Linked DNA regions of Styela clava. The protein of the gene in region 3 interacts with the protein of the main gene of each other region in a biochemical or structural test. Links are inferred from orthologs where the notes say so. Each region holds a gene or a part of one and is shown on either strand. Other genes may lie near its edges.

What was found.
Region 1: of the proteins of cyclin-dependent kinase 1-like (region 3) and cyclic AMP-responsive element-binding protein 1-like, one has a biochemical effect on the other in vitro, tested with the Homo sapiens proteins (2 studies listed by BioGRID). The link is inferred for Styela clava from reciprocal best matches to the Homo sapiens genes CDK1 and CREB1.
Region 2: the proteins of cyclin-dependent kinase 1-like (region 3) and lymphokine-activated killer T-cell-originated protein kinase-like form a complex in vitro, tested with the Homo sapiens proteins (2 studies listed by BioGRID and IntAct, with this or other methods). The link is inferred for Styela clava from reciprocal best matches to the Homo sapiens genes CDK1 and PBK.
Region 4: of the proteins of cyclin-dependent kinase 1-like (region 3) and wee1-like protein kinase 1-A, one has a biochemical effect on the other in vitro, tested with the Homo sapiens proteins (5 studies listed by BioGRID, with this or other methods). The link is inferred for Styela clava from reciprocal best matches to the Homo sapiens genes CDK1 and WEE1.

Annotation. Positions count from the first base shown.
Region 1 is NC_135252.1:2,242,592-2,249,580, reverse strand, and holds cyclic AMP-responsive element-binding protein 1-like, read right to left. Parts: upstream 3,005-6,989; 5' UTR 2,875-3,004; coding exon 2,062-2,874; 3' UTR 384-2,061; downstream 1-383.
Region 2 is NC_135254.1:11,926,929-11,934,951, forward strand, and holds the start of lymphokine-activated killer T-cell-originated protein kinase-like, read right to left. Parts: upstream 3,011-8,023; 5' UTR 2,911-3,010; intron 995-2,910; 5' UTR 878-994; coding exon 751-877; intron 451-750; coding exon 333-450; intron 173-332; coding exon 12-172; intron 1-11. UniProt on the Homo sapiens protein: Phosphorylates MAP kinase p38. Seems to be active only in mitosis. May also play a role in the activation of lymphoid cells.
Region 3 is NC_135260.1:19,958,366-19,965,806, reverse strand, and holds the start of cyclin-dependent kinase 1-like, read right to left. Parts: upstream 3,012-7,441; 5' UTR 2,838-3,011; coding exon 2,801-2,837; intron 2,531-2,800; coding exon 2,374-2,530; intron 2,001-2,373; coding exon 1,877-2,000; intron 1,606-1,876; coding exon 1,435-1,605; intron 1,030-1,434; coding exon 866-1,029; intron 393-865; coding exon 251-392; intron 1-250. UniProt on the Homo sapiens protein: Plays a key role in the control of the eukaryotic cell cycle by modulating the centrosome cycle as well as mitotic onset; promotes G2-M transition via association with multiple interphase cyclins.
Region 4 is NC_135255.1:13,733,547-13,740,519, reverse strand, and holds the start of wee1-like protein kinase 1-A, read right to left. Parts: upstream 3,009-6,973; 5' UTR 2,830-3,008; coding exon 2,721-2,829; intron 2,490-2,720; coding exon 1,468-2,489; intron 1,351-1,467; coding exon 1,181-1,350; intron 1,037-1,180; coding exon 64-1,036; 3' UTR 1-63. UniProt on the Homo sapiens protein: Acts as a negative regulator of entry into mitosis (G2 to M transition) by protecting the nucleus from cytoplasmically activated cyclin B1-complexed CDK1 before the onset of mitosis by mediating phosphorylation of CDK1 on 'Tyr-15'.

The DNA.
Region 1 (6,989 bases), on a different chromosome or scaffold from region 3:
ATCAAGTAAATTGCAGGATGCATTTGGAGAAGAAACACAGATTATACTTTAACCAAGCGTGCTTAACTCAAATTATAAAAATAAGATTTTAGACAGGGTGCCAATGCAATCCATCAGCAAAAAATACCTATGTTCGTTATCCTATGGATGGCAACTGTATGATAAAAATATTGCAGACATCTGTTGTGTTGATTCAAATATGGATCAGGAAATTGGAAAGTCATATATGGCTATGAAATATTACACATGTTCCCAACAGAGGCATGAGATTGTGAATTGTGGCTTACGATTGAGGGTTATTGAAAAAAAAGACTACAAATTTGCATTTTGTACTACATTGGCTCTGCGTTCCCCAGTATCAGGATGAAATGTCGAGAGTAAAATAATTCAAAAGAAATAGGTATATTATTAAACGCAACAAAACAATACAGCCGAATACAAACACATTGATATCAAATTTAAATTCAAGGCAATCATAAATTCAAATTTACATAGATAAAGAGATCAACGAACTAACCATATCATACTTGAACAGTATGTGTGTCCAGCAACCTCCTTGATTGAATTGCTGTATTCTTATTACTGTCATTGCAGTGCATCTCAAATCCTGGAAGATGATAGTTTTTCAAGGCAGAAGATTAAATTCATGAACAGAAGTTTTAAACCGTAATTGATTGAATGCAGGCAGAAAAAACGATAGTTCTGAATGATTCAATTCCAGCATTTAAAATTTGCGCCAAAAATAGTTATTAAATAACTTTTTTTCTTTCTGCCACAGAAATTGGGATAAATGATATATTTTAAACATAAAGATTAGACTAAAATGAACATGCTGATGTACCGTTGTATAACATTAACTCTCTTAAGCAATTAGCGAAATTATAAAAATGGCGAAGTTTTTGGAATTGAGTTTGGCTATTGAAAATACTTGAAATATTGAAAAACTGAGTGAATAAGTCCCTAAATAAGCAGCTTTCAAGTGCTTTAGTCATCTTGTGTCATTGAATTGAATATTTTCCATCAATTTCTCTTGCAAATCAAAATTCAAATGAAATTAGATGAAAAAGCTAGAAATTTTTTTTGAAATGCAAAAATCTTAATTACTGGTACTTAAAAACAGAAGGTTTTGGTTACAAAATTAATTCTGGCCAATGCATGGCAGATATAAACTTGCAACAAAAATGCTAGTAACCCTGCAAAAATATAATTACAAGGAAAACAGGCAACAATAAAACTGCACTGCAAATAAAATAATCTATATGTACAATATGCAGTGAGAAAATGATAATAAGAATCACCAATTCAAATCACAACATATCACCATCTGCAACTTCAAACAAATATTTGGGATTACAGAATTCATAACCGATTAAATACCAGTTCGAAGTTTCGAAAAATAAAAGTTTCCGCATCTTACGGTATATAAATTTTTAAGATGATCATCTTCAAGTAGGAATCAAGACAGACACTAGGTGCACAAAAGTAGTTCAGTTTAAAATCTCAAGACCTTATAAAATAGCAATATATCCACTAAATTTTTTTCTTTCGTCTCAATTGATCTCGGAAGATACATTTTATAGATTTAAAATAAAAGCAGTCTTTCAAAAAATACAGATTTGTGAGAATAATTAGGAAGTACTACTAAAGTCCTAATGATACAATAACTTCACAAGTATATATTGACTTTTCCTTATTGTAAATCTGAAAGATATTGATACTATCAAGTCAAACCTTCCTTATACATATGTATTTTATAAAATTATTATCACAAAACAAGATTAGTTGAAGATACAATTGTATTATTATTTGATTTGTATTACATTAAATTTGTGTTAGGTTTCGATGCTACCAACTATATTATACTTCATTAAAATCGAAGTACTAAAACTGGTGAAGTTGAGGCTTCATTTAACATAGTTTGCAATTCCAAAAATGCGAGTGGGCATTTTCAATATAAACTCAGTCTGACAAATATTCAGCTGTTATTAACACTGCCAGTTATAGGCTTGAGCAAGCTATCGGACAAACAGGATGTCTAACATTCCTGTCCTGTATTTAAGATCACATGTCCTTTGCACAGTACATCTCTTTTAATGTCTTAAGTTCATCGATAAGTGCCTTATTTTGAGTTTCCAGTACCTGTACCCTGTTTTCCAGACACTTAATGTACTCCTTCTTTTTGCGTCGACAATCCCTTGCTGCTTCTCTATTCTTCATTAATCTTAGCTCTCGTTTTCGGGATGCTTCTTCTGCCATTTGCTGCGGCGTTTGCACTGTGTTGGACGGTGAATTACCAGATACAACAGAAAGCTGGCCACCACCTGTTGAGCGAATTTGGTATGCCTGAAGATCACCACCACTGCCTTGGACAACAACATGACTTCCAGGCACCCACAGCTGACCATCTTGCTGCACTATAGCCTGTCCCTGACTCAGAGCATTTGCCACAGAAAAAGTTTGCATGTCAGATTGGTCGCTTATGGAAGGTGTAGATATCTGTATCGTTTGTGGAGCCTGTTGAATAGTAACAGTGCCCGTACTCGTTTGGTATGCTATTGTCGGTGTATTGATTGAGATTGCACTCAAGTCAGACTCTGATTCAGATTCTTCAGAGGACTTATTTTCGCTTAGCACTTCCATTTTCACGGCGGGATTAATTCCACTAGGGCTATCACTTGACAGGTCACTCAATATTTTTCTATAAGAAGGACGCCTAGAAAGGATTTCCCGCTGTCTTTTAGCTGTGTCAGAATTAGCCTGGGTGTCTTCCGATGAAGTATTCCTGGCAGAATCAGTTCCGTTGTTCAGTTGATTAGGTGACTGAATAACAGATTGTTGATTAGATGTGATAACACTTTGTGTTCCGCTTTCCATTGCTGAGTTTATAGGTGAAAGAGAATCATATCGATAATAAAAGTTGTTCTTTCTACTGTTTATATTAGTATAACACAGTCTAATAAAATAACAAAACCTAAAGCAAAAACACAATCTCAAAGAAATTGACCAACCACTAAATTGTTATATTTATTAACATAGATATGCAAAGCGATTGAGTAGAATGGCCTCAATCATATTTTCGGCGTAAGCTATGTAGTTTCTGCTTATTATTAGTTTCAATATACTTACCTCTAGTCTGAAAACCGATTTACTTACTCACACCATCAGTTTGTCACCCAATGAAATCCATGTTCTACTAGACTCAAGCAGTAACATATTAGCATGGCACAGATGTTAAATTTGGAATTGATTGTGAGAATGTACCAGACGAAAACAACCAACATTGTTTCGACTAGTATTATTAAGTTAAATAATTTTTTGGGATAATTCTATTCTTCAGAATACCATTATTTTTTCAATTGACTTAACCTGATAATTGAACTGCCCTATTATCCAAATTGATAAAATTTTGGGCAATATTAAATAGCCTCCTTGAATAGAAACTAATATAACTTTGATAAAAGTATAACGGTAAATAGAATAGCATGTGGTATTGGATAAAATGACATTAAAACAATTGGATATTTTTCCTTATCATCTGTTGTCTAACTTAAACATATCTTACCGGTAATTACAGTTCAGTAATTTTCAAAGCATGGAATGATTATTGAGTGAAAACATGAAAAAATAGAAGTACTCAAAAAATGTCTCTTCAATACACGAGTTAATACAATTACATTATGAAATATGAAGGCTGTTAGTAGGACGAGGCAAGTCAAAAGTGCCCCTTTTCAGCTAGATTGTTCTGGTTTACTATGACAAGGTGTATAGAAGACCAGAAGTATTTCATTTTCGATGAGACCGGCTTCAATTGGTTCTGATATTTCTCTGGCCAATTCATGAACTCAACATATGAATGGTTAAAACATAAGTTTCATGATGTTATCTTTATATATATTTATTTCTACTTCATATCACAATGCCAAGAATACATGATATCAAAATGTGACAAATTTTGATCGATATGGGTAATAAAAAATTTGATCGAGATGATGGGATACTTACGGTACATGAATATACTTGAAGAATGGCTCAATATCATTCAAAGATAGAATAGCAATATTCACAAATTAACGATGTTATCGATTCCATTCATATACTCCCTTTACTTTCTTACTATTATCACACGTTAGATTGCATGAAATGTTGTTACAGTTTTGCCCTTTATTGCATGAACAGAGATATTCCAGAAATTTGGAAAACTATCTTAGTAGGGTTGTTTCTACAGTTAATACGATGATAATGAGGAGTAAAGAAAACATCTTCATAAAATTCTTTCTTCCTGTTTATGGGCAAAATCACAATTCACATATTCCAGGTAATCTAAGCAGTAAATTAATCTGAAACAACTGGGCGACATGTTATTTCATCTTGAAAATGAAATAAGTCTGAAACATTCCTTTAAATTTTCAATAATTCCTAAAATATTAACAACATGAATCCAACAAAATTATTTATCAGGAAACGTTCCCATTAAGATGCTAAAGACAATGTCATCATAATGTCAATACAAGAAAGTGGAAGTAAAAACACACTTTGCAAGTTATTTATTAATGACCATTTGTCATATCATCATTTCAACAAGAAAATATTAGCGCCCCTGTCAAGCTATGAATCAAAACAAAATTAAATTGTTATGGAAAACACATAACAGAGAAAACAAAGATAAATAGGTGACTAAACATAATTCTTTATTATTATATACCCCTAGCATTGTGCAATGATATTGTGTTACTATAATAAGTTGTCTTCATCAGTTCAGATAAATTGCAAATTCCAAATTTAAATCTCTAGCTATTTACAGAATTCGTTTGCTAGTTATGCATGCTATCCTATATTTGCAATACATGGAGAGACATTTTAGGGTCTCGAGTAGTTTTGTACCACGATAACTTCTGGTGGGCATGGCGTAACACTTTTTGCATATGTCATTCCTTACCCCCATGTGATTACGTCATCCGAAAATTACGCCACTGTGATGTAATAGGGCCCCCCAAAATATACAGATTGTCGTTCAAAACACACAGAGGATTATCTGAAGTTGAGCTAGCTATTTCTCTTGTTTTTTGTCGTAGTAATCCTGATATGAGAGAGAGCTGGCGTTAGTAAGCTCGAAATCAGGGGCACAGCTGCCATTTTGGGCTATCGTAGCTATACTTTGTCAAGCTCTATGATATGATTGTGACATGATTTTTGGTAGCATAGTTAGGTGGGAGTTAGTGGTTAGGAATAGCATACAGACATATCCAAAAACTGTTGAGCCAAGCCAACTAGAAGTACATGTGGTACGAAACTACACCAAACCCACAGTTTATAGGTATTCATTGTGAACGTAACCTAACCAAAACTTCCAGTTGTTGTTCTTGATATATGATGTTTTGTTATTTCATACTAAGAGAAGATACACAATGAGAAAAAAGAGCCAAGACCAATCTGTAAACTTTTTGGTATATTCGTATACGATTAAGTGGAAGGTTACAGTTCATCCAGGTCTGCAGGTGCAGTACAGCGATAGCAGGATAAACAACAGAAACATTTTCTTTTCACTTTTCAATACCGGTACCAAAATTTCGGTTTTGTAAGGTCTCTAACGATTTATGCAATCTGTCATCCCTGGATCACTATCACCAGATCACAGACCAGGATGTTACAATATTATAAATTATCGTAAAACGTTAATTTACCTTATTAACTTCCTGATTTTATATGTATCAGTGTATCGGTAAGCTGTCTCTATACCTTTCATTTATAGACTACAATATTATCAGGCCATTTGCAGATTTCAGTATTTCTCCTTTTCCAACCATGGTTAGTATTCATGAATTCCGTTGCTGCAGTATTGTCTGGCTTATGGCCGGAACGTGGGGTGACCCAAATATTGTGTCCTTCAACTTTCATTTCATAATTTATCCTCCTTATTTGTTGCTAAAATGTCTTCAAGTGTTTTAATAATTTGGCATCGCCCAAATTCAAGCTAAAATCAAAACGAAAATGCGGGAAACGGATTCAATACAACAGCACATGCCCAAAAATCTTTTCATCATTCCCGGGTCTAAGTGACGTCAGCTTGTAAATAACTACGTATCAACTTACTTTAATACATATCACGAAAATATTCTACATTTTTCCTGCTTTGTTTTTAACTATTTCAACACCAAACTATTTTTACAAGTACTAGCGTAATATGACGCAATTTTCGTCATTAGTTAAGCCGAACTGTGACGTTTTCCCCTGTTATGACATCAAAGATGGCTGCTGCGTAGACAATGACGAAGAAGTGTTGATGACTCATCGAGCACGGAACCACATATTTCTAGAAATATCTCTAAATTCTAAAATCACTTCAGCAATTTTTTTATATTGGGTTCGAAAAAAAACTTAATTTTATAGAGGGACTTATAATATAGTTTATTCATTGACAGATCCCTGTATATTTCAGACAAAAAGAGATATTAAATCGGTCAATGATGTAGAGGTAAATATCCGGTTCCATGATAACGTTTTATAACCAATGATATTGTTTTACCAAAAATCTGATTTGTTTCGATGATCAACCCGTGCTTCTGATTTTATTGCACTAGTATGTGTATAGTAGAATATAACACATCCATTGTTTGGATGTGCAAAATCCATCTTGTTCTGTTTTAACTTACATTCATTCATAAGTATACAAGTTACCCAAATAATTGATATCTTTCCCTGCGCTCCCATCTATTTCGTTTCGATTATTGGACACGGTAATGGACACAACGATCGTTTCAATATTATGCTGTTGTTGTTCTTTGACACTTTTTGGACACCTAATGGAAAATCTAAAAGGTCGCTTTTCTCTTTGATTACTGGACCAATTGCTTTGAAATTTTTAGTGGTTAAAGATGAAATTTTTCGTCAGAAGGCTATCACTTTTATATATTTCAAATATCTCTGTTGGCTTTGTGAGATTTGTTTTTGTTTGCTATGATGTCACCGACCGTTCTGCGGACGCTTCTGTT
Region 2 (8,023 bases), on a different chromosome or scaffold from region 3:
AAAGAGCAAACCTAAATGTTCCTCCATTCTCTCCTCCAAGATAGAGAATAAACATTTTTCTGCATCTTCAAGAGCCAAACACAACATTCCATCTTTTGCTTTGGATAATGCCCGGAATCCAACAATATTTTTGTGGTCAATCGATTTCAATATGTTAGCTTCTTCTTTTAACCTTGATTAGATAAGTATTTTCATAGCTAATCCAAATGCAAAAGAAACAAGTGAACTGCATGCATAAGAGAGATAATCATGTTTTGAAATTTATCAAAGAAAGTCATTAAGAAAAAATCTGAACATGTGAGATTACATGCTATTATTCCTATGCTACTCACCGATTGGCAAAAAGATTTGCTTTATTTTTCTGTTTTGATTTGTTAACTTTTTTTACCGCCCATGGTGACCGATGCATGCCTTGCCGTGGTGATCGTTCCAGAAGATAAACACTGACGCCTTCAAAACGGGATATTATAATATAAGAACACCTCACAACTTAAGCACTAGTTAACATTTCATTCCCATACTGTTATCAAAAGCAGTGGAAGCTAAAAACTAAACATGGCATTGACAAAAGAGGGAAACAGATACAAAGGAGTGAGAGCGTTGATCAAAACAAACTGCTCTAAACATATTCGGAGTTGGGAAAAATCAGCAGAAAGAATGCATAATTCAAAGGTTTGAAGCTTTATCACCATGAGAAAGGCCTTGAGAAATATCAATTAGTCAAGTGATTATAATAACTAAAACTTGAACCTGTGCCATATCCCAATCTTTGTAGCAAGGGTGATGCAGGCATATTTAAACAAGGAGATTGGCATTCCGCTCCAACCTGTTTTTTCTTGAACCGCATCACAGGTGTCTGCAATATATTTTCACTCATGTTTTGTATTTTAGACAGCTCTGCTAATATAAATGAAGCAGTGTGTATGAATGGCTCTGTACAGTCGCAGCTTGAATATCACAGATCAGGCTGACATTGCACTGTTGAAATTGAGTTCTAAAAAAAGAGAGCATTGGCAGAATAAGCTGATTGGGATCCTGTCAGGTACAGTACAATTTTATTTAGCGAAATTCAACCAAGATTCTTTACTATGAAATCAATGAACTAATGCATGACCTTTTCGCATTGCCACCAAGATATATCAAAATGTTGATTGTAGGCTAATTAGCTAATTCAGTAATTGGCATTTAGTTCACCACTGCATCAAGACTGTGACATTTGTCTTGAATAATTAAAATACACCGATACAGGAATAGGCCTGATACAATGTCTGCTGGAATATAAGGCTATCAAATTCCAGTTAGGCTATAAGTAATTTTTCTCTTCGATACAATTACAAAACTGTTTTTTAACGGTGGCAGCCAATTTACCACTGATTTGCGTCTCACTTCACACTGTCACAAGTTCAGATAACTGGATAATGAAAAAAATTGTTATGTCATAGCTACAGTAGCTATGATATAAAATTTGCACTAGATCCATACGTCAATCAAAGACCCAACTGCACTGTACCTACTGTCGTTTGCTAGCTCCGATAAACAAAATGCAAGTTTCTAACCAGGTGAACGAATGGGTACCGGTATAGTCTATTTCAGTATTTGGAGCAAAGACTAAAAGGATATTTTGATAGAATTTAGACTACTGCTAATTTTGATGCCCCTTGATCTACGCATAATGGTATGGACAACTATTACTAAGTCTCCGGAATGAAACCAAGGTTGGCACGTCCAAACCGCACCGCGAAGGTTTTTTCATTTTTTGCTTCAGATATGGCACCGGTATATGATAAGCCTAGTTATATCGGCCACCATAAAACAATATCATCCAAACTGTTATATTTATTTTTTTTTAATGACAAATAACAAATAAAATAATATCAAAAAGAATTTCCAACAGTACCGGTACATTATTAATACAGTAATATGTTATATGGTACCGGTACATGTTATTCATGGTTGTTCCAAGGAAGAATGTATGTATGTATGTATGTTTATTCGTCTCGTAAAAGCAATATAAAAGAGTAAGTACTTATAAATACTGAAGACGGGATGTATGCACAAGACCATATTGGCCTAAAACACAGATGTGCGGCATACACCCCTTTGATTTATATAAATTTTAATAGGGTAAATCAAATATGTACAATATGGTCCTTTATACAGGCAGTTGTGCGAGGAGGGTGGGTGGATGCGGTAACAGGGATATGGGTGGAGTGTACAAAACTGTTTGTACAAAGGAGTTTGTTAGACAAAACAACATCTATAAATAGAGACACAACACAACATGAAACACAATGCATATGAATATAGTAATAAAAAAATTTTCTAAAAAAAAAAAAAAATTAAGAATTTGGATGAATGTACAATACCATTGAGTGATGATACCACATACTATAAAACGCGGGAATGGTCAAGTTTAAAGGGTGTGTACATATATGGTATGCACCACTCAAGGGCGACAGTGTTATAAGTGGTCTATGGCTGTTCTGGCCAAAATGTGACCCTACAGGTTTTGGCGAAATATGATAATAAAGGTATGTATCAAATGACTCACTATTATAAGGTTTTTTTTGAAATTCTGGATTCAGCCAAAAACAATGAAGTTTCAAAAAAAAAATAAAAAAACTTAATAAAAAGCATTTCCACAAAACCTATTATGGTTGCATTTCAGCCAGAAGATTAGAAAGGTATAAAGGTACAGTGGGATAGGGAATGATAAGTTATAAAGAGAAGCCATTTTACAATGTCATGGAATTTACATTGGAAAAAGAATTCATCACCGTTCATTTTTTCCATAATTCCATTTTTTTCATAATCATCATTTATACGATTACAATTATTTGTAAGATAAAGCATGTAAAAACAAGTGTTTCCAATTATATTTATTTAACATTCAATATTGTTCAAACCTACTTGATTCTGTTACCGGTACCGAAATGTTCATGGTTAAAATTAAATGTCTCTGTTTAAAATCAAAACAATGGAATCCGAATTTCCCGCCCACGCTGATCCGGAGCTATGTTACGTCGGAGTCTCCCGGACTTCTGTCATCAAAACAGAACGAAGCTTGTGTTACCGCCCTAATGTTTTTATGATGTCAAAATTTTGTAACTCTCGTATTTTTCAGTATCTTCACTGTACGACTTTTGTAATATATGTTTTATTTATAAGTTTTGTGTTGATACATTAATCCGTGCAGAATAAAAAAAAACATCAGAAACTGTTGAGCTGAGATCGGAGTCAGAATTTTTTAAGATTTGGGAGTAGAATTACAAGACGAAACTTTTGTTATTCCAGTTAAACATGGCTTATATCCGGCGCGGGCAACCTTTTTTGGCTCGCGTGCCAAAATCGACTACATTTATTGACAAAATTCATCCGCGTGCCGACCAAAATTGTCGAGAGCTCACTCAGTTGTGACGTCATACTACATTTTTTTGTAGCTACCGTAAAGGCTCGTTTTAACGCCCGGTCTTGATTAAGGGCCCGTTTGAATAGCCGCCCGTGTGAACAGCACATAAAAATAAATAAGGGCCGGTGCTTGAATACCCGCCCGGTGTAAATTATTTTTTTTTGCGGATTTGTACCTGCGGTGCGTAGAAAAAGTCAAAATTTTCATTATCGTTTAAATCATACTTGAGAACTGGAATATATGTCATGAAAGGACCAAAAGAGTTTAATCTAATAACGGATTGCTAACAAACAACTATGAATAAGCGGACACAGAGTTTCATCAGATAAGAGTCTTAAAATTCTTGTGAAGTAGAATGATCTCGTTTCTGAAGCCTCACTCGCGTGCCGAATAAATGGGCTCGCGTGCCAAGTTGCCCACCCCTGGCTTATATCGTTTAAATTTAGTACATGAACATGATCAAACAACTCCATTGATAGTGGTGGTCGTAATTTAGTGCGTTTAAAGGTAGTTTAGGAAGTCCTTTTGAACTCTACAAAGTCTGATTTCCTAATGCCCTTTTAACCAGGACTGGATTGTGGCTTTAAGGAGCCCTAAGCACTTAAGACTTTGATGCCATAAATATCAAAAGTCATAATATCTGCAATTGATTATGTAAGTTTCCATATTCATCATTGGAACATTATTTTTTTCTAGCTTACATTAATGACATGTTCAGATGTCTGAAATCCTCCGAGTCAATCATGTTTGCTGATGACACTGACTTGATTCTTAATGGGAAAATCCTTGAAGATCTATTCACAGTTGCAAACCAAGAATTAACCAACATCCATAGCGGGATGTTAGTTAATAAATTATCTATTAATGCTAAAAAAACTGAATTTGTATTATTCCATCCAAGCAAGCATAGAAGTGTGAGTTGTACAAAACCACTACTGCTCAATGGCAATGAAATTGAAAGATCTGTCTTGGAAATCACAAATATCGCATGTTATTGGTAAAACAAAAAGAAACTTGGCAGTTGCTGCCAAAGTACCCCAGTGCGTTAATCAATCAGCTTTATTAGCAATGTTTCAATCACTACTACTCAGTCATATCCGATATTGTTGCTCAGTCTGGCTCCATGGTAATAAAACACTTGTCTCAAAATTGCAAAGTACTTTTTTAAGAATTGTCTTCAGGAAAAGTAAACATGAAAGTGTAAATCATTTCTATCAAACGCTAAATATACTCAAAGTCGAAGATATAATGAAATTTGAAGTATTATCGTTAGTCTATGATTTTCATAACAACTCCTTGCCAAACTGCTTTGACGACATTCTAACTAAAATTATTTCCAATCGAAGAAGTAGTTCTGATTTTTTCATACCTTTTATGAGTAAGTCTGTGAGCCAGCATGCCCTGTGTTATACTGGGCCCAAGCTGTGGAATTCCCTCCCCTTAAATTTAAAGACATTGAAATCCAAAAAAATGTTTCAGAAAAAAGTCAAGTCCCACTTGATATCCAAATATTAAAAGTTATTATTTCAGAACCACACTGACATAGTTTTTGTAGGTAATTAGATAGAACATCAAAAGAAAGACCATGACAGAATGTTGGGACACTCCTCACTTGCACATACTTATTATTTTCATGAGAATGTTGAACAGCCATAATATTGTTATTGTCTCTGAGATTGCTTATTATTTTTGAACAAGCAGCTAAGCTCTCCACATCTGTTTTGTTTTGCATTCTAGTTGGCTCTTTATTTTGTCCTATAGCATGCATAGCATAAGATTCTTCCGCATATGGCTGCTCATATTCTGTTATGTGCATGTTTTTTGTTGGGTTTCTGATATTCCACATGCATGATCTTTTATTTCTATTTGAGTGGTGTGTTTCTTTGTGAGGGTTGTAGGAGGTATAATTTAACTCCTGTACCTATTACTGTAATTAGGCGACCAGTCGAGATATATTGGATTCTCCCCTTCATTTTAATTTGCTGTGGTATTCCATGATTTGTTTTGTCTGTATACAAAATTTTATCCCAGGTCAAGGTTCTGCTGTGAAATTAACGTGAAGGCCAATAAAAAATGGTTAGTGTGGTTTGAGAGTTCTTGCATGGTTTGCGAAGATTATTTACCCTGTGTCCCAACCAGAATTCAACTCAGGTCTTTCAACTTGCGTTTTAAAGATAAATAACTAATGATTAATATTTACTCAAAATAATAATTTCTTCTCAACAAAAGTGTAGGGTAGTGACTAGTGAGTGTTATTTCCTAATATGAAACCCTTAAATATTTTACTCGCAGATTTTTTTTCTGTTTTTCAGGTCGTTTGTGATGACCAATTCCATGGCTAGCTTATTGAATATAAAGGGTGTATACATCATCAAAATTGGCAGTCTGATGTAGTGATGTCTCATTTATAATAACTTTGAATTGACAACAATTGCGTTACATTAAGTAAATGAAGAAATGATCCTGTGAAATAACAATCCTAATTCCCTTGTCCTTGCAGAAGTCAATATCTAAGATTGAAAAAAACCTTACTTATAACCTTGGTAACCAACATATTCCTATTCCCCGTTGTCCTACCTTAATTAATTATAATTACTTATACTGTTACTTGTACCTTTGAATACATTACACTCTGGACTATAATTTGGCAATAATAGGCTCTAGTTTGGGGAATGAAGTGGTCTAGCCCAGTGTTTCCCAACCTTTTTACCCTGGCGGACCGGTAAAATTAAATTAAATGTGTTGGCGGACCGGCAAAAAATCGAGATAACCGGAACAGAAACGAATAACATATATTTCCGTAATATAATGCAATGTCGGGCACCCAATATGCTTCTAGGTGTGCAAAAATACACACCTAAAAAAACACGGAGAAAAACTAACGCAGTAACTGGTTGAAAATACGGACAACAGTTTGATTGCTCGATTATTTAGCGATGGGTATTCGTTATCAAGAAATATCTAAAATTGTTTCAAGTAATTCTGTTTTAAATCTGGACTGTAAAGTTGAATCACAATTTTAATCAAGCTTTTTCTATTTCGTTGGGTTTATCATATTAATCCCTCTGCAGTTGATTGACGCCTTGAACGAATGAATTTACATTACAATGATAAAGTCGTTGATGACTTGGCACCAAGCTCAAAATCCTACTGTGTCTGCTCAAAATACTGGAAAAGATCTCTGCAGCCCATGCTTTTTTGCACGTCTCGTGGCCACCTGTAGGGTCGCAACAAGTTCATACATCACTGGAAAACTATACTGTTTTTGAATATGCATAACGTATGATATTGATGGTTATATCAATCAAGAAAAGCACGCAGAACAGAAAAGCACGCGTGCCGTTTTTTGGGTTTCTGAATCTTGCCAGATTTCATAGAGCCCATTCGCGACGAATCGGAGCCGAAAAAGCGAAAAGTGTGATTGCTCGGCGCCAAGATGTCGCGAAAGACGGCGCCATGATGTCGCGAAAGACGTCGCAATATGACGAAATTTCTCGCGGACCGGCAATAAAAGCTTCGCGGACCGGCGGTTGGGATCCACTGGTCTAGCCCACCTCTTCATGCACCCAATTCTGGTAACTTTGGTTGGGCATTTTTGGCAATTGACTCCAACTATAATCAGCTTGGCAATATATTTTTCATAATAGTTTATCTCTACTGTTCACTCCCATTTATAAAAGATATCAATTCGGCAGTGGCAAACGTTATAAATTTATTAATATGGTGTGGCAAGTAATTTTTATTTTTTTTTAACTACCCGTATGTAATTTATAACTTCTGTATGGTTGTGTGTGTGGGTGCGTGTGAGCGTGTGTGGAATATTTCCATTATTTTAGGTGAGTGAACACGTACCACTTCTTCTTGGCAAAACCTTCCATCTTGTATACATTCTGTAAGTTTTAAACCTTATCTAAGGTTTTGTTTGCTCTCCTGATTTCATAATCAGTTTTTATTTATTTTTTTTACCAATCATCTTATTGTTATGCTGATTTTTTAACCGGGTCAATACTAAGGTTACTGCACCAATAAACACTGAGACACTATCGAAAACTCAACTATGGAAATTTGTGTAGTGCTCTCTTTTCCTTGGTGCCCTAAGCACGTCCTAATTTGCTTAATGGTTCATTCAACCCTGGCACCACATCCTAGCATTATTGGACGCCTACAAATCATAATAGAGCACGACTAAATAGAGAAAGTCTGGCATTGTAACCCAAACTAATATCTTGTAAAATCGAATATTAACGGTAAAATGCTATTTAAACGTTTAACGATTGGCGCTTTTCAACAGTATTGAATTTACAGTGAAATGCTATTCAAAACATCCAACGACTGACTCATTTTAACAGTACTAATAAAAAGTGTCAGTTATTAAACGTTTAAACAGCATTTCGCCGTAACTTCAATTGAACGTTCAAATGGCATTTCACCGTTACTACAATACTATTGAAAAAGCGTTAGTGATTAAATGTTTAAATAGAATTTCGCCGTAATTTCAAGACTGTTAATGTCGTCATTCGTAAACGTTTGAATAGCATTTTTCCATGTATTTAAAAGTGTTTATAAGCGGTACTCGGTTATGTTTAACTATTGCAACACATTTTGATTCCTGTC
Region 3 (7,441 bases):
GTTCAGTCCACTTCTTGAGAGACTTTTTTTACAGGTAAATTCAACAAATTTATTAAATGACATCTATAATGACCTTGGGACATCTCACAGAGCCAGTTTCCAGATAATTGAATGAGATTCCTAATTTCAATGACCAACTACTTCATCATCACCATTCACCATAAGGTGTTCATGATGAACCATACAAATTGCATGTACTGCATGTGAAAGTACACGAAAAACACAAGTAAAACATATCTCATCTGAATACCATTAGCAAATCCAATCCTTCATCAGAGAGGTTTTTAACAGAATCCGCAATATTTCCTTTTTTCCATTTTGGGAATGTTTGTTTGTAATCTTTCAGCGATGTGACTCCGGGCCAATCATCATCAGTAGCAGTTCCCAACACTCTAGAAGATTTGAAAGTGTATATTGAGAGTATTAAGACATGTTATGATATTCTCAATACTATGCAGAATTAGGATTCAGAGCAGTGATGTCGAGCCTTCATCCTCACAGACCAAAACTAAAAGGTCTATTATTGATATTGAAATAGCTTGATGGCTTTTGACAGTTTCTACATGTTTTAGTGAGTTTTTGAAAGTATGTCATGAAATCTGAATTTTTTTTTCATGGAAATAGCAAAGGGATATGAAAATGAAGTTTTCCGTATGCCACTTCTGATAATAATTTGCATAGAACTTCCGGTATCGCTGCTCGATAACCAGCTCTGGTTCCCCGCGACTTCCCTTCCACAGTAAAACTGTGTAAACTATCATTTTCTCTTAATTTGTGCTCGTGTGGAAAAAATAAACTCAACTCAACTATATTTAAAATGGAGATGCTCAGAAAACCCATAAAATAACAAAGCTGAAATTCGAACCTGAATATTCGAAACAATTGATCAATTTCTGAGTCTCCATGAAACAAAGGTTTCTTTGTTGCCATCTCAGCAAATATAGTTCCAATACTCCAAATATCAACAGGAGTAGAATATCTCGAGGATCCCAACAAAATTTCTGGCGCTCGATACCAGAGAGTGATCACCTAAAAATAACAATTCGAATGTGAAACTTGGCATCCCATTCTTAGAACAGTCTGCTATTTGCAAGAATTTTATGAACTGGATATGGAGAACTTTGACTGTTATCAACATGAAGTATTTGGTTATATTAATAAGTTACCATCAGATATGATACTTTCTTTCCTATGATATCATAGTATTGCAATATCCGCACATATGTAAGATAATGATTAGTTCTTAATGTTTGATCTATTCTTGCAAAACCTGTCCAGTGATACTATCTATGGAAAGCCTATACCATAAGTACCAACCTAAATTAAATATGTTGGCTGGTAACCATTATGTCATATACGGAACATTGATCAATAAACACTTTTCGGAATAAGAACAAGTATGAAGGGGGATATGATAAGAGCAAAATTGAACACCTCATGCGTGTAGATTCGGACAGGGATCCCAAAGGCACGAGCAAGACCAAAATCTGCAAGTTTGATGATGCCATTTTTGTCAATCAATAGATTCTGTGGCTTCAAATCTCTGTGCAACACTCGACGCGAGTGACAAAATGTGATGCCTTGCAATATCTGGTATGTGTAACTCTGTTGGCGAGAAATGTAACAATAAAATTCAATGAAAGCAAAGCAACCCACGACGGATTAATATAGTTATATGATAAACAAAGTATACTAAAATGTCATACTTCATATAAGAATTTCCTCCTAAAAGCATACATGGATACACAGGCATAAGTGGAACTATTAACTAGTTGAATATTTATATAGCCAGCTTTTGTCAGCTCCCATTTCCCACATTATAAAATTAAAATATCCCTCCTCTTTTTTTATGATGTACTGCAATATAGATGATTACCTTTACCAACTCTTTGTCCATAAATTTTCCAGATGGAATTGAATCCATGTACTTTTTCAAATCCATCTGTAAAAACTCGAACACCAAGTACAGTTTGGACTCTTGCAAGAGGACGTCAAGCAGACTAAAAATGATAGATTACGCATTAAATGAAAATAGCAATATCCGAAAACAATTCTGATTACAAGTTGATGGTAATGTCACTTTTGATTCAAGCTGCGAACTACTTTGGCAGATACAATGCATCTTTAATAATTTACCGTTAATAAGAACAATGATTTATCAACATAATTGGACTGTAGAAAATTTGAACTTTGAATATCACCATGAAATGACGAAGGATTGAAATTTCAATCCAACTCCAATAACTCGAAGTTGAGATTAATATTAGAAAACTAAAACTGAATTATCTAATGGAAAGAAAAAGATGACCATATGACAGAAAGATAGAATTCAACAGCACACTTAAATAAAGTTTTAATAAAAGTTAGACAAACCTAACAATATTGGGATGAGCCAGTTCTTTCAAAATGGAAATTTCTCGAATTGCGGTACTTGGCACTCCCTCATCTTCACTCTCAAGACGAATCTTTTTCAGTGCAACATGCTGGTTTGTTTTCTTATTACGTCCTTTGTAGACCACTCCATAGGTGCCTGCAATAAAGTGTATATTTGTTTAACTAGAAACAACAAAATGAACAAATCTTAATACACTGATAATATAAATAATATAGATATATTAAATTGAAGTTAAGTATATATGATCCAAGGTTAAAGGTTCAAACTCTATGCACAAGACTGAGTAACCTGTAATAAAATTAATATATTCAAATTCTGTCTAGAAACATAGTGTGTTAGTGATTGCTCGTAAAGCGCTTGTTTATGAAGATGTTGGAAGCCTAAATGAAAACAAATATGTCCCACCTTCACCAATCTTCTCAATTTTGATATAATCTTCCATCTTGTTGGATCCGGCAAGCAGTTCTGAAAGTACTAGTTACGAATCTGATGGTAACTCGCTTATTTAGCAGATATATTATTATTAAGAACTGCCGTACGCACCCAGTGTCTGCCTAGGCTTCCCCAAGCTAATCCACACAGCAACAAAATTAGCACTTGAAAATATAAAATTAAATAAAAATTTATCAAAAGATTTTCCATTAGCTACTTAGTTATGAAAATGTAATTTTTACATAAACATTTTGTAACAAATACAGAAATTAAAACAAAGAGAGTATTTGCATTCAAAGACTGGTTAGCCACCTTATATGCTATATTAATATAAGGACAATTACATAAATAGCAATAGAATTGTATTAGTATCCCAGCATAAACTAATTTTGGCGTTTGTCATTTTATTGCCTTTGCTTTATGCGATGTTCAACTACTTCATATTGACAACCATACAAACTTAACCAAAGGTCACAAATATATGACAGTTTTTGAGGAGTATTTGTATGGATTTATTTAGATATATTTAACTTTTTTCAATGCTGTTTATGGTCTCTATGAATACAACGACAAACTATATTGAAGAATATGATTTTGAGCGATTATATAATTTGTGTTGTAAAATATAAGATTATAAAACTCTTCAATAGAAAATTACTAATTTGGTATCAGGGCACAGTTATCAGATTCCAAGAATGTCTCAATAGCTAGATAAACACTTATTTGTCGCAGAAACGAGGGGTCTGATATAGTTTAGTACCACATGCACTTCTAGTTGTCCTAGCATAGTATGACATATGCAATAATTTTTGCATATGTCAATCCTAACCCCGACCTGACTACATCACCGAAAAATTAAGTCATTCCGACGTCACAGTGACGTAATAAGGCCCACCGAAGTATGCGAATGGTCGTCCAAAACGCGCAAACAATCACCTGAATCGAGCAAGCTATTTCTCTAGCTTTCTCGTCGCAACGATCATGATTGGAGATCGCCGGCTGTAGCAAGTTCGTTATGAACGGCGCAGATGTCATTTCGGGCGATGCCATTGCTATGATAAAATTTTTTTCAGCCAATATTTTTTAAAAAGGACTCTGATAGAAGACATTTTTAGATTTTTTTTTTTCAGTTTATTACAGAGTATCGATTTGCTAATCTTGAGGTGATACCGGTATGGCAGTATGGAGTGCCAACGCTGTCAGGATGTCTCGTATAGGAGGGGTTTGTATTCAACGTTATTATTGATGTCTTTAAATATAGCGGCTAGTCTTGGAATTGGAGGACTGTGCAGTATTTTGAATAAGCACCATTCAATTGTTGCTTTTTGGTTTTTTGTGTTATGAATACTGTAAATATTAACCGCTTGGCAAAATCAAATTAGAATTTTTTTTCGACTGTTATTGTTAATAGCAAATATTGATATGATATGTAGTTTAAATAATATAACAGAGACCGGGAGACGTGGTTCCACAAACACTAAAAATAAACGGATGATATAATGCAGTAATGACTGAATCTGAATGGAAGGCGGATATACCTTGCGAGAGATAACAAGAGTTATCTGCTTTAGTGGCATTTTGATTGCCACATATACAGTTCATAGAAGAGTAATCACCATATTTTCAGGAAGAAAAACACATCAATACTTTCCTTTGACATGCGGACATGATACACAAGAGAAATATTTTTGTCTTTGCTCTTAACATATTTCTGTATTTCTTTAAATACTGGTAGTACCGGTAGCCTATATATATATTATGCCACTATAGTCTACCTTTATAAAATCACTAATAAAGTGGAACACCGAAATCCAGTCAATATTTCATTTAAATTCAGAAATTAGACGTCACCTGACTGCTTGATACCGTAACTAATACTAGACCCCATACAGACATAGGATTTACATATTTATCCCGGGGAAAGGAAAGCCGATAAGACGGCTTATCCATATGGCGAACCATAGCCTCTCGTCTGGTTACCATTCCAAGTCGGGTATGGGATTAGTTATATTGTTTGTTTTCGGAAGCATAGACTTGGTGGTGGAGGAAGCCGTAACCGACCAGCGGGCAGCGGTTACGTGACCACCCAACGACGACGACGAGTCCAGCAATCCTCTCGCACATACGGTAACCATCCCATAATTACTAGGTTTAATAAAATATGTTCATGATTCCAGATCCACAAGGTCATCACACCTAAACTTAATACAAGACTAACTTCGAATACGAATAAATCTCGGGAGTACAGGCAAAATAGAACAATTTCTGAATTTAAAGTCCTAAGACCCGCAGTTAGTACAGCACATTCGTAAATAGCGCATCGAGACTTCCGTCCAATCAGGACGCCTCAAGCCAGTGACGTCTTGTTTAAGTCAAATCAAAAGTTTCGTTTGAAACGCTCGAGTACGCAAAGCAGCCATGCGAGGTTTATGCTTTCTTTTAACTTTAAATTAACCGCAATCGCACATTCACATTCTGTGAAATGGTCTTAATATTTATATCAAGCATTTTGTTCATATATTATTGGCACACTACTCAGTGTGGATTTAGCGACGCCCCAGGGTTTGATAAAATAGGATAGGATTCTATTCATCTAGGGGAGGGGAAGGCGATAAGGCGCGATTTGAACCTGAGAACCCTATCAGGGTAATCAGAGGTCCTGTGGCAAGCGCATTCCCAGTGCTTATATGCATCACACCGCCGAATATTCGTATTTAGATAAATTATTTGTTTTCAACTTCGCTATTTATTCTGAGTATTTGTTTACCCATTTAGTAAATGCATCCTGGACCAGGATGAATGGTGGAAAATCAAGATAACCGCTACCGACTTCATACTTCGTAGACTATTAATTTAAAAAACTTTTTCTGAATTGCAACGGCATTATTGGCATTTTTGACTACAGTATAAGACTACAACACACTACAGTTTAATTCCGTCTACACTCAGACTATACAGTACTGTGACGACCCCCCATTGTTGCAGCATAATGTGCTTATGTGCATCTTAATTCATGATTGCAGGTTATTATACGAAAAGCCTAACAAAGTTCAAGTGTCCACCAGTAAGAAAGGGAAAGTTATGAAAGGCGCACATTCAACAATGAGTGTTATGTAAAATACCTCATTGTGCAACACAATCAAGATCTAGTTTGCCTGATTTGGCAAAGCGAACTCTGCTAGCTACGATAGCATTGTAGGTCAATCACGGGTTGACAAAATGCAGCAATTAAAACAGTCTTTGAGCAAACAACAAGAGGTATTCCATGATTACAAGGACACTGAGATAGTTACAAAACTGAGCTTCAAGATAGCTGAAGCAATTGCGGAAAAAGGAAAGCCGTACAGCGATGGTGAATTCATTAAGAATTGTTTTAAGATATTCATCAAAAATGTATCCACGGAGAAGAAAAATTTAGTGGAGCAAATAAGTCTGCCTCGTTTTACAGTGGCTCGACGAATAGACGATCTATCGGAAAACATCGAAGTTTCTCTAAAAGACAGGATAAGCAAATGCTCAGATTTTAGTATCGTTTTGGATTGTTTAATGAGTTGTTCGATGGTCTGACCCCCGGTATCACTATACTTGTAGTTTGTGGCCCATTGCGCAAAACAGTTGCACGCACCTGCTGTATACGTTTCTCGTGTTCTATTCTGCCCTTGTCTCCTTAATCACGGCTCAATTTTGACCATGTTTTGATACAGCCGCTGCTCGATAACCAGTACTGGGTTTCCGCCTTCAACCTGAAACGTGACCTATTTATAATTCATTGCAATTTGTATGCTTGTGCCTATTTGATGGTATAGTGAAAAATAAACTACTGATTACTGATTGCTTCATTTAAACACAAAATCCTACGATGTTATGAATCTCAGTTTCGCCGAAATGTTATGATTATGAGGTAAGTTATTCGCGATATGTCACACATAAAGATTTTTGCTACTCGTTGGATTCTGCGTCTCGGAAATCGCAGATTAGCTTCGAACAAGTATTGAAAAGCGTATCTCCCATAGACCAGTGGTTCCCAACCTTTCTACCCTAGCGGACCGGTAAAATTAAATGTACTCGCGTACCGGCAAAAAATTGAAATGAGCGGAACAGAAAAGAATATCATATATTCGAGTAATGTAATATCGGGCACTCAATATGCTTCTAGACAAAAGGCACACCTAAAAACATTTCACACAAAGAAAAAGTATATATCAAATAATGTGTCGGCCAACAATTGAAATGGGTGAAACATAAAATAATATCATATATTTGCGTAATGAAATGAGGTGCTATGCAACCATTATGCCTAAGAAAGGCACACATAACACACTCATTTAAAAAACATGTACAAACACAATTACCTCTAGTCAGAATTTTGCTGCTGTTTCGTTTCCAATATAGGATTGCAAACGAGGCCGCAAAGAAATTTCTGCAATACGTAGCTCTGCAGCGGCGTGCAGTCGACTTCCTTGCTTCGTTTTAATTCAAGCTAGTGATGAAAATGTTTTCTTTTCGCGTAAAGCCTAAGTAACTGGTTGAAAATAGGGACAACAGTTTGATTGCTCGATTACCTGGGCGATGGATATTCGTTATCAAGAGATATTAAAAATTGTGACAGTGTTT
Region 4 (6,973 bases), on a different chromosome or scaffold from region 3:
AATTTTGAGAACATTAGGCAGGGCAGAAATGAAAGAACATAATTAATTGAAATAGGAAACAAATTAATAAATTGAAGTCATGCTCATACTGCGACAAGTCTTTTTACCTAAAAGTCTATTAGTTTTTCCGCCTCGCATACTGCTGAAATTTTTGCGTAATCCAGTTGACATTCCCCTTCGGCCTCCAAATGGAGTTTTGTTAAATTGTGATTCTTGCTGACTTTGTCTTGCTTCCTCCAACTCTCTTGCGAGTATTTCATTTTTGAATTTTTCTTGGTTAAGCTCTTTTCTCAATTGGTCTTTTGATTTTGAAGAACCAGGGCATAGGAGAGGGTGTTGTGTGAGGCTTGCTGCGGTTGGTCTATGAGCAACGATGGGGTGAACCATGCTTTGCAAAAGTTTATTGAACTCATCTGAGCAGTGAGTGAGTGTCTCGAGGCCTTGGTTACGAATTTTGTGCCATGAACTGCCATTTTTGGGAGGCGTTCTTCCACTAGCAAGTTCATGAACAGCAACACCAAGTGCAAAGACATCAGCTTTCTGTAAATGTGAATATTCTTCCTGGAGAACTTCATTAGCCAGGTAACGACAATCGCCTTCTTCAACTTGTGGGTCTTCAATTGAAGTAACATGACCAAGATCTCCGATTTTATAAACAGAGCATTCCTTGGTTGTTGTCACCTTTTCTTCTTCGTCTTCGCTATCTAATTCACTCTGATGAGAGTCCAGTGAAATATTCTGCTTTTCATTACAAATGAAGATATTTCCTGGTTTAATGTCCATATGAACCAAATTTTGTGAATGTATATATTTAAGTCCTTTAGAAACTTGCAGCAAAAGATTTTTTGCTTCTTCTTCAGAGAATTTTTCGCCTTCTTGTTGATTCTTTGCTGCTACATCAGCCAGGCTTCCGCCATTACAATATTCATTTTGAATGAGCATATGATCATTTTCTGCCCAAGCTGAATAATAACGAACAACGTGTCTGTGTTTTCCAAGGACAGCATGAGCGCAGACTTCACGAATAGCATTTGCTCTGCAAGTAAAAAAAACACAAGGTTAGCAATTGCAAAATTAAAAGATCTCAGTGTATGGTATTTGCTCGAGTTAATTCAAATGTTTAATAAAGTAAACCAAAAGATAAACTAATACGATGTTTTAATATCATTGATGAACTTACTCGTCAACAGATCCAGCAAGAGGTTTCTTTGATCTTTTTACTGCGTAAACACACCCATCAAGACGATTGACACATTTAAAAACGGAACCAAACTCGCCATCTCCAATTTTTCCAATTTCGTGAAATTCTTGTTGGTAACGAGAGATGTTGTTTTCACGTAAATGAATTCTCTGAAAATAGAAAAAGTCAATTTAGGAATGGAAAAGTACCAGCAACAATTAGACATAACTATTTAAACTCTGGAGACTCATGATGAATATAAAATACAGAAAAAATGTTCTATTTACCTTGGCAGGCCTCATTTCATCTTCCTCATCTATGTCATCCAAACAAAAAGAATGTTTCCTTTGTTTTCCAGTTCTTGAACGTTTTGAATTTTTTGGTCTGTTATCGGGTGTAAATGGGTTCACATTTACAGATGGAGTAGTGGGTTCTTTGAACTTGTTAAACCTGGGTAAGCTCTTTGAACCCCGAATTATCTCACATTCTTCATCTGTTGTGTCTGTTCCATCTGCGCTTATTCTAAAAGTTCTTGGCATTGAGGGTGTTGAATGTGCGGCATCCATTCGCAACATACGAAGACGACTTCTCGACTTGAAAGCACTGGTTGGACTTGGTGGTGGAACTGGTGTGGGACAGTTTTCAGAATAAGAAAATTCTATTGGTTTAGGTAAAGCTGGTTTTCGGGAACGCATTTTGCGTAAAAGAGTTTTTGGTGTGGAAGGAGAATCAAAGAGTGTGAGCTCTCGAAGTTTTCTTGTGTGTGGTGGAGTGTCTGGAGGTGACCGACCTGGTGAGCAACCAGAAACGCCCGATGATGATGCTGGTGATTGTTTTGGTGATGGAATACATAGCGGCTTGCTGCTGGGTCTGGTTGGAGAAGAGAAACTGCTGTCACTGTTATCATCACCACTACTACAAGAGTTAAATTCTAGAACATTTGATGTGCGAATGCTGGATGAACTCGCTGGTGTATTTTCATCGTATGAAACATTTCCAGAATCTCTACGATCGCAATAACTTGAAAATGGAAGCTTTCTCAAAGCTGGTGAATGAAATTCTTCATCTTCAGAGGCTGATTCCATGGCATTCAAAGCACAAATTTTCCTCAAATCATCTTCATTATTATTGTGTAACATTCTTCGTAAAACTCGAGAATGTGTTGTTGAGCTGATTGGTGTTCCTTCACAACGACTAACTTTAGATTTAGGAGGAGAGAAAAGAGAACGTTTTGCTGGGGAAGGTGAACTGATTCTTGAGCGGCTATTTTTCATTGAGTCAGGTGATGGTGTCAAAGACAATTGCATACCTAATAAAAAAGCGTGGGGTTAGTCAATGAGGTAATATCATATAGCCAATTATTGAAAAGTGGACAGCAGAACTGAGCTGCTGTGACATGAATACCGTACCGTAGGTAATAACGTTAGGCCTAACTAACAAAAAATTCCCAAACAGATCAATGAATTGCTTTTTATGAAATACCTGAATACAGAGTTATTTGCAATAAATCTGGTCTACTAATATGGAAATAGCAAATTACCTGAATCGTCATCCATGAATCCATCATCACTAAAATCCAATGCCATTCTGATACTATTTGATCCAGGTAAATCCTTTGATGGACTGGCACATGGCAGTGCAAAAGACATAACGGCAGTTCTATAAATCCGATGCAAGTAATTCCGATGATATTTGATTCTTTTGCCCTTGTCTCAGAGTGTGTAAAGTTCAAATGTAACGCAAGAGTTGATTTTACTGATATCACGGTAATATAAGATCTAAACAATATAAATAAACATTATTAAACTGAAATATATTGATGTACATTTAGATATCACCTTATTTAAAACTTTATCAAAAGTATATGATAAAGAGATAAGTCCTGAAGTCCGTAAGTCAAAGTTGTACGGTACCGTTACTATAGACACTGGCTACTGGACTATATTTCAGACGATTGTGTTTTCATATTAATACCGCAACCCATTCTCATAAAACTGTAGGCTAGTTTTCACTGAGCCCGTCCTATCTGTACATTTTAATAATCCAGAATGTACGAAAACCTGGCCGTTAGAGTCGACGGTTGTGGTATCTGAAAACTGCTTGATTTGATTTTAAATTATACGCTAGGACTGGTCTTTTTGTCTCATAATTCTAATCTTCATAAACTGTTAGCAACATTCCTCTGATCTAAGTAATGTACAATGTGACACCATACGTCATTTTAGCACGAATGATTGAATCTGACGTCACCAACACGTAATAAACCCATGAAAACATGCCGCTAGTCGACTGGAATAAGCGTGAACACCATTTGAACAATCGCGCCGCGTGCACGGCGTGTAGAATGGCGGGAGTCTAACGCTCTCAACCAATCATATCACTCGTCATATGACGCAAAACGAGAGAAAGAAAAACGCGACGTCATTAATTCTTTCATTAACCATTATATCGATGCTTTTTTCCCTCTGGCGCTTTGTAACTTAGCGTCGCATAATGAGGCAAGGCGAACGTCTGTTCGTTATCGCTACGTTTCCCGCAGCGCGACACTATCTCAATAGTTTTGCTGTGCTTCCTGTATTTTTAAAGCAACATATTTTATTCAATATGTGCCCCTTAATTAACTGAAGACACGAGTCTTTAGCCTTTATTGTTCTTAAATTATGCTTCGATCAGACTTCATGGCTCGTGCACTTGCTAATGAGCAGGTACAATCTATCACTAAATAGATTGTATCATTGTCGGATATGCAACTCTAATTTTGCAAATTTGTGTCATTGTACGCATAAACCAAATTCTTGTAGGAAGTCAAACCTTATCAATTTTCATTATACAAAATTCATATCACTCCTTTGCAATTCTATACAGTATATATCTTTTGCTAATGTAATTATTACTATCTAATATATTCAACGAACTTCCTAACTTAATGAACTCATTACAATTGAGCTATGAGAGGGTATAACTTGTCACTCAACGGACCACAGTGAATATAATTTAACTACATTATACCTGCTAATAAATACTAAAAGGACGATTTCTTAAAATAACATAAGATAACTTGCTACAAGACATATCTCCGTTGGGCCATGCGTACAGGAACAGGTTCTTGATATATTTTTATTGGTCTGGCCGATAGGGTGCATGCGCAAACAAACCCTGTTTACCGATCGGTGATGTTATCTTTAATGTGCTTTCAATGAAGGTCCGGGATTACATTGATGTAACTAATAGCGATATTATCAAAAGATATTTCGGTACTATAGTTGGAATAAGTGCGGAAATAACCTTTCGATTGATGTTCCAAATTGAAATAATCAAACTTTTAGGTTTCCGTAACCTTGTATGACAGAGTTAATTCGAGGGCTCTTGAGCATGGCTAGTAAAATTCCCTACCCTGGAATAATATATTTCGCGAAACTCGAATAGTCCATGCTTAAAGTTTTTATCTCGGTAGGCAAGCAAGTTGAGAATAACACAAAACTGGGAACACCCGGTATGAACCTTACTACGCGGGTGGAATATTCAATGACGTAATTACAACGTGATTTCCATAAAAGGAAAATTTAACACTCAAATAAAAACGATGATTCATTTTCGCAGCCAGACGGGTGTAATTGGCGGATTTGTGGATATAGCAATGTGACATTTCATAAAATTCATCTGTTCATACCTGACGGTTTCTGTACCTTTACCGCGGTGTTAAAATTCCGACCGCGGGATTATAGCACGTCGCTACCCAAGGGTGGAGACTAAACGTTCCACTGCAGTGGAGACTAATCCATGAACCGCGGTACGATCAAATGGCGGTAATATCGCAACAATATCGTTTAATGCAAATCGCATATTGCAGCGGAAGCAAGCGGACAAGGTGGACCAATTTCCGGAGTATAAGCATGAATATGCCATCCACATGCAATCTGATGCTGAGATTATCGTATATTCATTCGCCTTTAATGTTGCAATCAAAGGAAATGGGCGATATGTCATGCGCAACATCAAGGTCGTTTAATATGCAATACAATAATCACAATAACCTATCTGTAAAGATAATTGACCGGTGTTATAATCCCACCGGAGCAGAAATCGACCAACTCATTTTACTCCAACGCCCCTTTATTCACATAAAATTAAAAAGAAGTAATCCTTGCTTATTACAACATATAGTAATTCTGAAACAATTACAGTACTTAGAAAAGCAGGGTAATTCCAAAATCCCACTTGAAACAGAATACGTAATTTCTTACAGGTAATATTCCCATTCCCTATCGTCAACGTAAATTACCTTAGAGTTGAACAAGTTTGGGCGATAGATGAGAATGTGGCGCCGGTAACCATTTTGGTTAATACGCCGTGGCCAGTCATGATTTCGTCTTAACTTAATTGACTATATTAGAAATTGAAAAGTAAATTCTGGTCCTCCAAATACATTATTGTTAATTGTCCGAAGAGGTAAATCGATAGCAAATTTAATCCAGAAAGCGCGCTAATTTGGTAAAATGACACCTTTCGTATTATCGCCCTCATTTCTGTGAGAAAACAAACACCTCTTATATTGTTTATAAAGTGCTAATCAAAGTTTAGCGACTGTTATATTTTAACATGTCGCTGATATATTTACTAAATTGTACTTCCAATTTTCAAATTAAACTGGCCATGTGTGTGCCCCTGTTTCTTATCAAACATAAGAACATGCCATATATGTTTCAGGCTTGTTGTGTAAGGCTATCAATATGATTAAAATATTCTATGATATCAACAAATAATTAAATAAATGAGAAACAACCTCGTAAAATTATTTGAACAATATTTCACACATAGGTGCTATTTACATTAATGGTTAAAAATATCGCTCACGTAAAATCGCATCTAATCATAAACTGATATTGAAATATTTTAATTAGGATGTTTGAGATAGGGTATCTAATGCTAGGCATGTCATTATACGTTATCATGTAATGTTATACAGTTGATTGCCGCTTTCCTTCCAGTTAAAGTTAATTTAGATAAAAAAAGATTCGATGTTAGTATGATAAGATAGTTCAGCGGACGTCTATTGATTAGTAAATCATAGCACAGAATTAGTAACAATTTACTCAAATTTGAGCAAATGGAAAACAAAAATTGTCAACAAAGCGTGGAGTTATAATTGTATTTCAAGCGAACCTATTCAAGTAAAACAAAAGCTATTGACAATAAATAGTAAAATGCACCGAATTTCATCTCTAGCTAATACTGTTTGCTCGAAGCAATTCAACGTACCTGGGTAAATTCAAAAATTAATTATACACAAGTGGTCTGAATGCATTTCGGTTGTATATCCCAATATCTCTCGAGTCGTAAGTCGAAATCCAAATACTAATATATATTACATTTGATTAAATACAGGTCAGTACCTAATTTACCTAGACTACAACTCAAATAGTATAAGAACTAAATCAAACTTTTCTGCGTATTAATCTGCTTTATTATAATTGGCTTTAGCTTAGGCCTTGACTGACCTACTTTAAACTGGTAATAACAAATATGACATTAGCACATTATATCATATTATATTATATTATTTTTCGATCTGTAGCAAGGTGCAGTCAACATGTCCGCGTATTTACATTTATATCTATAAATAAATAAATATCGACTCGTGACTGTACAGAAATCGTTTATTTGTTTTTGTGAGCCGTTTGTTCAACTACTAAAACACTTTTGTTTGGTTACAGGTCTACGGCAAAACAGGTCTCCCGCATAGATAAACAATGGACTATGTTTATTCGGGTTTTCAGACGTAAACTCTGCTGA